2 linked regions of the Caenorhabditis elegans genome follow. The protein of the gene in region 1 interacts with the protein of each later gene in a pairwise test. Each region holds a gene or a part of one and is shown on either strand. Other genes may lie near its edges.

Evidence for each region.
Region 2: the proteins of gpb-1 (region 1) and gpc-1 interact in a two-hybrid assay, tested with the Caenorhabditis elegans proteins (one study listed by BioGRID).

Annotation. Positions count from the first base shown.
Region 1 is NC_003280.10:11,745,768-11,749,695, reverse strand, and holds the start of gpb-1 (Guanine nucleotide-binding protein subunit beta-1), read left to right. Parts: upstream 1-2,045; 5' UTR 2,046-2,048; coding exon 2,049-2,105; intron 2,106-2,635; exon of another isoform or gene 2,636-2,773; intron 2,774-3,552; coding exon 3,553-3,666; intron 3,667-3,714; coding exon 3,715-3,810; intron 3,811-3,897; coding exon 3,898-3,928.
Region 2 is NC_003284.9:12,880,652-12,884,579, reverse strand, and holds gpc-1 (Guanine nucleotide-binding protein subunit gamma), read left to right. Parts: upstream 1-2,150; 5' UTR 2,151-2,168; coding exon 2,169-2,251; intron 2,252-2,884; coding exon 2,885-2,990; 3' UTR 2,991-3,409; downstream 3,410-3,928. UniProt on the Caenorhabditis elegans protein: Guanine nucleotide-binding proteins (G proteins) are involved as a modulator or transducer in various transmembrane signaling systems.

The sequences.
Region 1 (3,928 bases):
TGAGCAGCTTGACGTAGAGCTCCCTCTCCATTCGCCTCGCTCCACTCGTCTTGCTCTCTCTCTCTCTCCATAGGAATAGTGTTCTGAATGTAGAGGTCTAGACGAGCCTCTGATTGGTGTATCTCGGGGCAGCTCACTGGCACACACACACACGCACACACACACACGCTCACGCTCAATGTTCTACTTCTTCTACGTCGTCGTCGTCTTCTACTTCTACATCTACTTCTTCTTTCTTCTTGTGCTTCGTCAAGGCATTATCTGCATATGCGTGTCTGTTTCTCTGGGCTGTGTGTTGCTTAGTCGAATCGACTGATTGCCTGACACAATCCGCTTATTTTTTCTTTTTTTTCCCTTCTAGTCCAGAACGTTTCGCCGCTTTTTCATTTCCTGTGCCCATTCACATTTTAGACCCAAACACCAGCCATTAAGCCGTCTTGCGTCCTGCCACGTCACATCAAAGCCATTAATCTTCGATGGCAGTCTGGCTCGGTCAAAATTGGCCTATTTTTGTCTGAGAACTTTGTACAATTTTATTGGTTAAAAATGCTCGCACCACCTGCTGGAGGGCACCAGATGTCCCCTCGCCCAAAGCAATTAGAATTCTGCATTTAGCAAACAAAAGTTGAATCAATAATTCGCAGATCCAATGGTAGGAGAGAGAAAGAGTGAGCCGCGCCTTCTTCGCACAGATATATATTAGCTTTTGTCACGTTTTGCGCTCCTACCTGGGAGAGCCCAAGGTATTTGAACACGGAGAGCAATATGTTCCCTCAAAACTCAAATACCTGTGCCCCATCATTTCCTTCCTTAATTCCCTCATTTCATTCGACATTTGTGGTATTCAGTTTCTTTTCTTTCTTTTTTGTCATTGTTTTGTTCTTCCGCGCCACACACACACACACAGACCAACACTTTTACATTTTTTCCCGCCCGCTCCCCTTTTCCATCCCGCTTGGTCTGCGTCTCAAGGTTTGGTTTCTTTCTCGTACAGTGTTCCGCTCTCACGCCAGTTTCTGAATCGATCTATTGATTTTTTGAAAGTTAAAAATTTTGCTTAAAATTTCTGAAGCTTATGATTTTGGTTTGCAGACCGTCATTCTGTACTTCCTGATCAGCAGCTTGGTCTCACCGTCTTTGCCAAGTTGACGTCGGTCGAGGGGTTTTAATTAAAAGGGTTAGTGATATAGATTTCTTTCTAGTAGGTTTTTCATGTTTTGATCAAAAACATACCTTTAGTTTATTCTTATTTTATTATCTCACCTATAGGGATCCCTAGAGCTAATAATCTACTTCCAAAGTTCCTCTCTAAAGAATTAAATATTTTCCCGTCTAGTTATCGATTTTAGAATCGAACTATTTTATTAGATAAGTAAGACCAAAATGTGTTGTTTTTTCAAATATAGAATTCTGGAATCACTTATTTTTAAATTGAAAAAAATCCATTTTTTTCAAATTTTTGATTTTTACATAAATTACTTGATTACAATGAAACAATCAATAATTTTCTTCATTTTTTGATTGGTTTTCGCATTGAATATTCAATTTAAAACTTATTAATTAATTAATTAAATAAAAACAAAAAACATTGCGCGGCAATTAGCATGTGCTGGCCTACCGTAGTTTCTGCAAACACCGTGACGTCAATATGCACACTGTTGTTTTTCTTTGATTTTCTTTCCTTTTTTGACCTTTTTATCTTATTTTTTCTTATTTTCTCCACAGAAAATCTCTAAAAGCTTCGAAAACTTGAATTATTTTAACGATAAATTTAATTCCTTCATGAAAATAATCAAATTCTTGGAAAAAATCGATTTTTTCTGCTATTTCCTTCAAACTCTTTTTTTCTATCCAATAATTCTTAATTCACGCTTTTTTTTGCAGGCCCAGTTGTCGAGTGCAAGAACAAAGGCCACGAAGACGACGAATAGAGCAGCGCCGCCGTCGAAAACGCGAACACCGACCAGGAGCAGCATTAGCCGCAGCCGCATCCGTCGACACTTCCATCAGTACCATCCTCCGGAGCACGCACCACCACCAGCAGCAAGATGAGCGAACTTGACCAACTTCGACAGGAGGCTGAACAGCTGAAGTCGCAGATTCGGGTGAGTAAATCTGTGTTTTTTTTTATTTTTTAAAATATTTTTTAAACTAATAATTGCAGTAATCTCTCGTTCCAGAGCATGGTCTAGCAATTGTTTGAATATGCGAAATATGAGAAATACACGCATTTATATATTTATACACACACATATACACACATACATATACAAATTGTTGGTAATAAGTAAAGCGCTCCCCTTCCAACGATGCCGCCGCCGCCGCCATCGGCGTTGTTTTTGCGCCGTACTTGAGGGGACGTGCTGCTGCACTGGATGTGTATAACACGATGGTCGTCGTCCCCCAGCCGTCGTCGTCTTCTTTTCTTCTTCTTCTACCCGCCATCGCCGCTGCAAAATATCGATCAGTAGCAGAAGTTGTTGCTCCACACACGCAGGCCGCGGCGAGCCATTGGCCGAGATGGGGTCGCCCCTGGTGGGGGCACTGAGACGAGGAGAAGCTGGAGCAGCAGCAGAAGCAGCGAGCGAGCGAGGAGAATAGATTGGCTGCCTAATGTGAGATTGTCGGCGTCTCCGGCTCTTGTTCCACTATTTTCCCGGGGCCCCGCCGCCGAATGCTCTCAATTTCTGCCGCTACTGCTGGCCAAGAGCACGAGAGAGAGAGAGAGAGATCTCTCGCAGTCTCTCTTCTGCGCAAGCTCCACTCGTGTCGTAGTGCGCCATTCTCCCTTGAGGACTCTGCTGCCGTCGTCGTCGTCGTTGTCGTTGTCATCGCGTCGCTCACTAGAATTGGTGGTAGCTCCTGCTCCGACGAGCACTCACACACACACACATGGTTGTGCGTGTGCGCGAGCACAAAATGTTGCGCGGGGTTTGGTGAAGCTCTCGTGGTGCTGAAAACGGGGTGAGCTGGCCTGGAGCGAGGAGGGGCAGCAGAGATAGAAAATACACTGAATTGGTGTTAATTAAATGCACAAAACATTTATGGAAGTGGAAGATTTTTCGCTTCAAAAATACAGTCCCCGGTCTCGAAGCGACAAATTTTTGTGAAAAGATTACTGTAATTTCAAATTCGGGAATTTTCAGCAATTTTCCATATTATGTGGACGTCTAAAAATGAGAGGTTCTGATCCCCCATGTCGATTTACGGGGCACTATTGCATCATCTCAAACTGTCCATTTAATGTGTTTAATGTATGCAAAAATATGTAATAACAGCCCGTAAATCGACAATTCGTGGCGAGACTCATGTGGCAAAAAACCTCATATATATCCGTCTAGATAATAGTTTTTCTCTCGATTTTATAAAAATTTATGTTTTTTAGTTGAAAACTATGAAAAATCGATGAAAATTCCTAGAGTGGAAATTACAGTAATTTTTATAAAAATTTAAGGCCCGAATTTACAGATTTTGAAGTAAAAAGTTGTAAAAACCAATAATTTGAAGTTTTTCATAATTAAAAAAAAAACAAAATAAATTAATTTTTTGCAGGAAGCCCGGAAATCAGCAAATGACACAACACTGGCCACCGTCGCTTCAAATCTGGAGCCAATTGGCCGCATTCAGATGAGGACGAGACGTACGCTTAGGGGACATTTAGCCAAGGTAGGGCTTTCAGACTTTTTCTAGTCATAAAATCGATAAATTTTGCAGATTTATGCAATGCACTGGGCATCAGACAGTCGCAATTTGGTGTCAGCTTCACAAGACGGAAAGCTCATCGTTTGGGACTCGTACACCACAAATAAAGTGAGTTTTTTTTGACGATTTTCAATTGTTTTTTTTTTGATAAAAAAAGAAAAAATTTAAAGAAATTAATTTGCATTTTTTTTCCAGGTTCATGCAATTCCCTTGAGATCATCGTGGG
Region 2 (3,928 bases), on another chromosome or scaffold:
TGAGATTTCAAATTTATGACTCTTATGCAATCGGCATTTAAGTTTACTTTGATTTAAAAAAATTAAAACAAATGGGCTTACGAAGTCCCCGAATGTTAGTCTCATCCAACTTGGCGCTATATTAAATTATGATAAGAAGCTGCAAAAACATGTTCAAATGTATTTTATTGACAACAAAAGGTGGCAATTACTTGATTATTGCCTTTTTTGAGAATACTATAGCACTGGAGTATGTCCGAAATCGTACAGTGTTTGAACACTAATATTTGAACTTATAGTTAAGTTAACCAAAAAATTTTTAAGAAAAATGTTTTTGATCAATTTCCAAAAAATGGTAGTTTTAATTAGTCTCATTTTTAGAAACAATAAAAAAATTTTTAAAAATTTGTTAAAAATTTTACTATAATATTTAGCCATTTTGGCACCATGAGAGTGGTTTTTAAATTTTTACCTTGTTCTGCTGCTTCACCTTTAATGACAGTTCGATATATAATTATACTACTTAATTTTCATTAGTTTAATTTTAATATTGCCAGTTTGTTTGACTATATATTTCTATTAGTTACCACAAAACCTAATCACCTTTCTTTGCAGCTTTGTCAAAATATGATTAGAGTATAAAACGCATAGCTCATTTAGTAACTATGGGCAACCACACCTAATAAAAGTTTGGATAAGAAAGCTGATTGGTACGAGTTATGCTATCTGGTTATGAAATGATGAAAAGAAAACATAAAACAGGTGAAAGTAAAGAGCGAGCTGCTGACTTGTTGAGTTTTCTGGACTCTTTTTTTTTTGTAAAGATTTTGTTAAAATCACGAAAACTCGACAGTAACTCTAGTATAGCTCGTTTCTTTGGATTTTACTTCTGACTCACGAAGCGTTAAATTTTGTTTTGAATAGTGAAGAGATTTATGTGGTTTATGCTTAACGTTTTAATTATGGGAGTTATCAGCAATGAAAGCTTTTTACATATATACAATAAGATCCATTTAAAGCGTATAAAAAGTTTAGTTCTGTCCAAATAAAAACGAAAATTGGGGTTTCACATTATTTGAGAACCTAGTTGTATAATTTTCAGTAATTTTCATATTCTTCTCAGTTTGTTATAATTTTCTGCTGTCCAACGCAATTTTCGTTTTATTAAAATAGCATATAAAATAATTTAATTTTGATTAAAATTCAAGAAATACTAAATGTGATCGTAAGCTATTAACTAAATACAATTTCGTGTTGAATATTTTCAAAGTCAGAAAGTTAATACAAATCATCTTGCCTGTTCCTGATTTTTTACAAATAACAAATCTAGGAATCGAGACAAAAAACCAAATCTATATTCAAATGGTCACTGACAAATTTTTGAATACAAATCCAATCAAAACAACTATAAAGAGTTGGATTCGATTCATTCAGTTCTTGTTTTGATCAACAGAGCTTTGCAAACTGAGTGATTTTTAGATTGAGAAAGAAATGAGTTAGTAGAAGTATTAGTTTTTAAGAATTTTAGCCGCAACGTATTTTGTATGGTTATTTTGATGAATTATTAAAAATTAACATTTTTCTGGCCAATTTGATATTTACGTATAAATTATATTGAATGTAGCATATCAAAAATATTCAAAAATGTTCAATAATAAAATCAATGTTAAATCCGCTGGCGCCAAAATCCCTCCGAATCCCCTGAATTGTGGATTGACTAAGAGTAAAAGGAAGAGAAACGAAAAAGGGAGGACGACTTAATCCCGAACAATATTTTTTATGATGAAGAGCGCATAGGGCCGTCGTCAGTTCTCACACTGGATTTCACTTTTTACCGCCTCTCTTTTGTCGTGAAGAGTCTCAGAATCCAGATGTAAAATCCTCTCCAATCTATTTATTAAACATAGCTCAGTCTTCAATCTTTTAATTATAAACACCGTTTTAGCACATGAGCTCTTCTGCCTCGAAACCCTTTAATTTCGACAAAAGAGCAAATGCTCCGATCGTAAAATTGGTAGTTTCACCCACCAAACCTACTCATTTTGCGTCGACACCAAACTTGTCTCCTCGCTTTTTTTCTTCCCAGCTACCTTACTCATTTCACCAGTTTTCGCTATTGAGAAGAAGATTTGTTTTATCATATTTTGAAAATTTATTAGCGTTTCTTTCAGTTCCAGAAACCATCTGAGATGGAAAACATCAAGGCATCAACCGAACAACTCTGTGCTGAGGCCAACATTCAACGAAAAAAAGTTTCCGAAGTTTCAAAGGAGTAAGTTATTTTTTATGAGCAAAGGTGATTTACATATGAGAATAGGTATCTATTTTTAGTATTGCTACTCCGAGACGTTATTTGGATAATTCTCATTATTAATGTAAAAATTGCACATTTCTTGTTGGTATTTTTTTTGTCTAAAAGTGTACTTTATATCCTAAAGAAAGTGTGATACGTAACATCGTAATATGGCATAATTTGCTCCAGTTCTTTCATCAAACTGTGGCCAGGTTCATTAACTGTGGCAAGCACTAAACTGTAGAAATAATGAATGTCGATATTTTATTGGTAGGCATTCTTTCAACGATTTTCTTTTTTTTTTTGGAAAATCAATAACTTACTCGAAAAATCTTCAAGGCAATCGAAAACAACGCATAACTAAAATTAGGTTACACAAAAGTATAGTTTTGAAATACTTCACAATTTTAGTGATATTTAGAGTACATAATGTCGTCACAACCATTTCGACAGAACCGACAGAACGACAAAATTGTTTCAGATGTTTGAATAATTTAAAAACGAATCGAATTTTTGTAACCATCGAAAATTACAAGAATATATATGACAATGTGGAATATCAAATAGCAAAAGTGAAATATTTACTTATATGCAATCAAACTATAATTTCAGACTGCTCGATTTTTGCGAGAAGAACAAGACCAACGACATGCTGGTCTCCGGGCCAACCGATCAGCACAATCCATTCCAAGAGAAGAAAAGCTGTTCAGTACTCTAAATTGATATCGCGCATTCAAATTTCATTATCTACCGGCATTTCAAGACACGTCCCGATTTTTCACAATTCACGTTACTGTCCATCATTTCTCTATTCATTATTGCTCTATTGTTTTAGCTACACGTTTTTGAACTCTCAGTCCACAAGAAAATCAACACGTTCACCAAATCTCAATTTCCGATCTCAAATCTAACTTGCAATCTTCTTGTTTTTGGAATTGTCTTCTGTAGCTATCTGCGCTGATCACTTCGATCTAGCCAATTGGGTTTTTTTAGCATTGGCTTCACAAAAGACTGTCATTCTGAAATTTTTCAGTAGAATCGCACTCTTTTGTGAAGTTAAAGCTTTTTCCCGCAAAAATATACTTCTTAATTATTTTTTTTTCTACTTTCCTATGCATCTATAAACAATAATTTAAAACATCAGACGTTATTATGAAAGGACTTGGAAATGAATTTTTGAATCATATAAAAAAGTAAAAAATCAAAATGTTATAAAAAATCAAAAAAATGAATAACCCATGATTTTTAGAAACGGCTATTTACACGAGACAAACGGTCAAGATTATTGTGAGAATGTTCATTATTTGGAAAAAACGTATAAAAATGTTTGTATGTGAAAAATGCAACCAAAAATTTCATTTTTTCATAATTTTAATTGACAGGAAAATCGAAGGTAGTCTTTTTTCATCCATACTGTTCAGAATTGCCAGGTCTGTTAGAAAACACTAGGCAGAGTAGACTAGTTTTTACGAATGTTTTTAAAATAGTTTGATAAATGAAATATAAAGACTCCTTTTGATTTTACCGTCATCAAAAATTTTGAAAAAAAAACAGCTTCTGGACAAATATTGCAAATATTAAAAATAATTATTTTTTAGAAACTCGTGCATGTGGCACTACGATTTTCTAACATTTTTTATGATTATGGAAAATGGA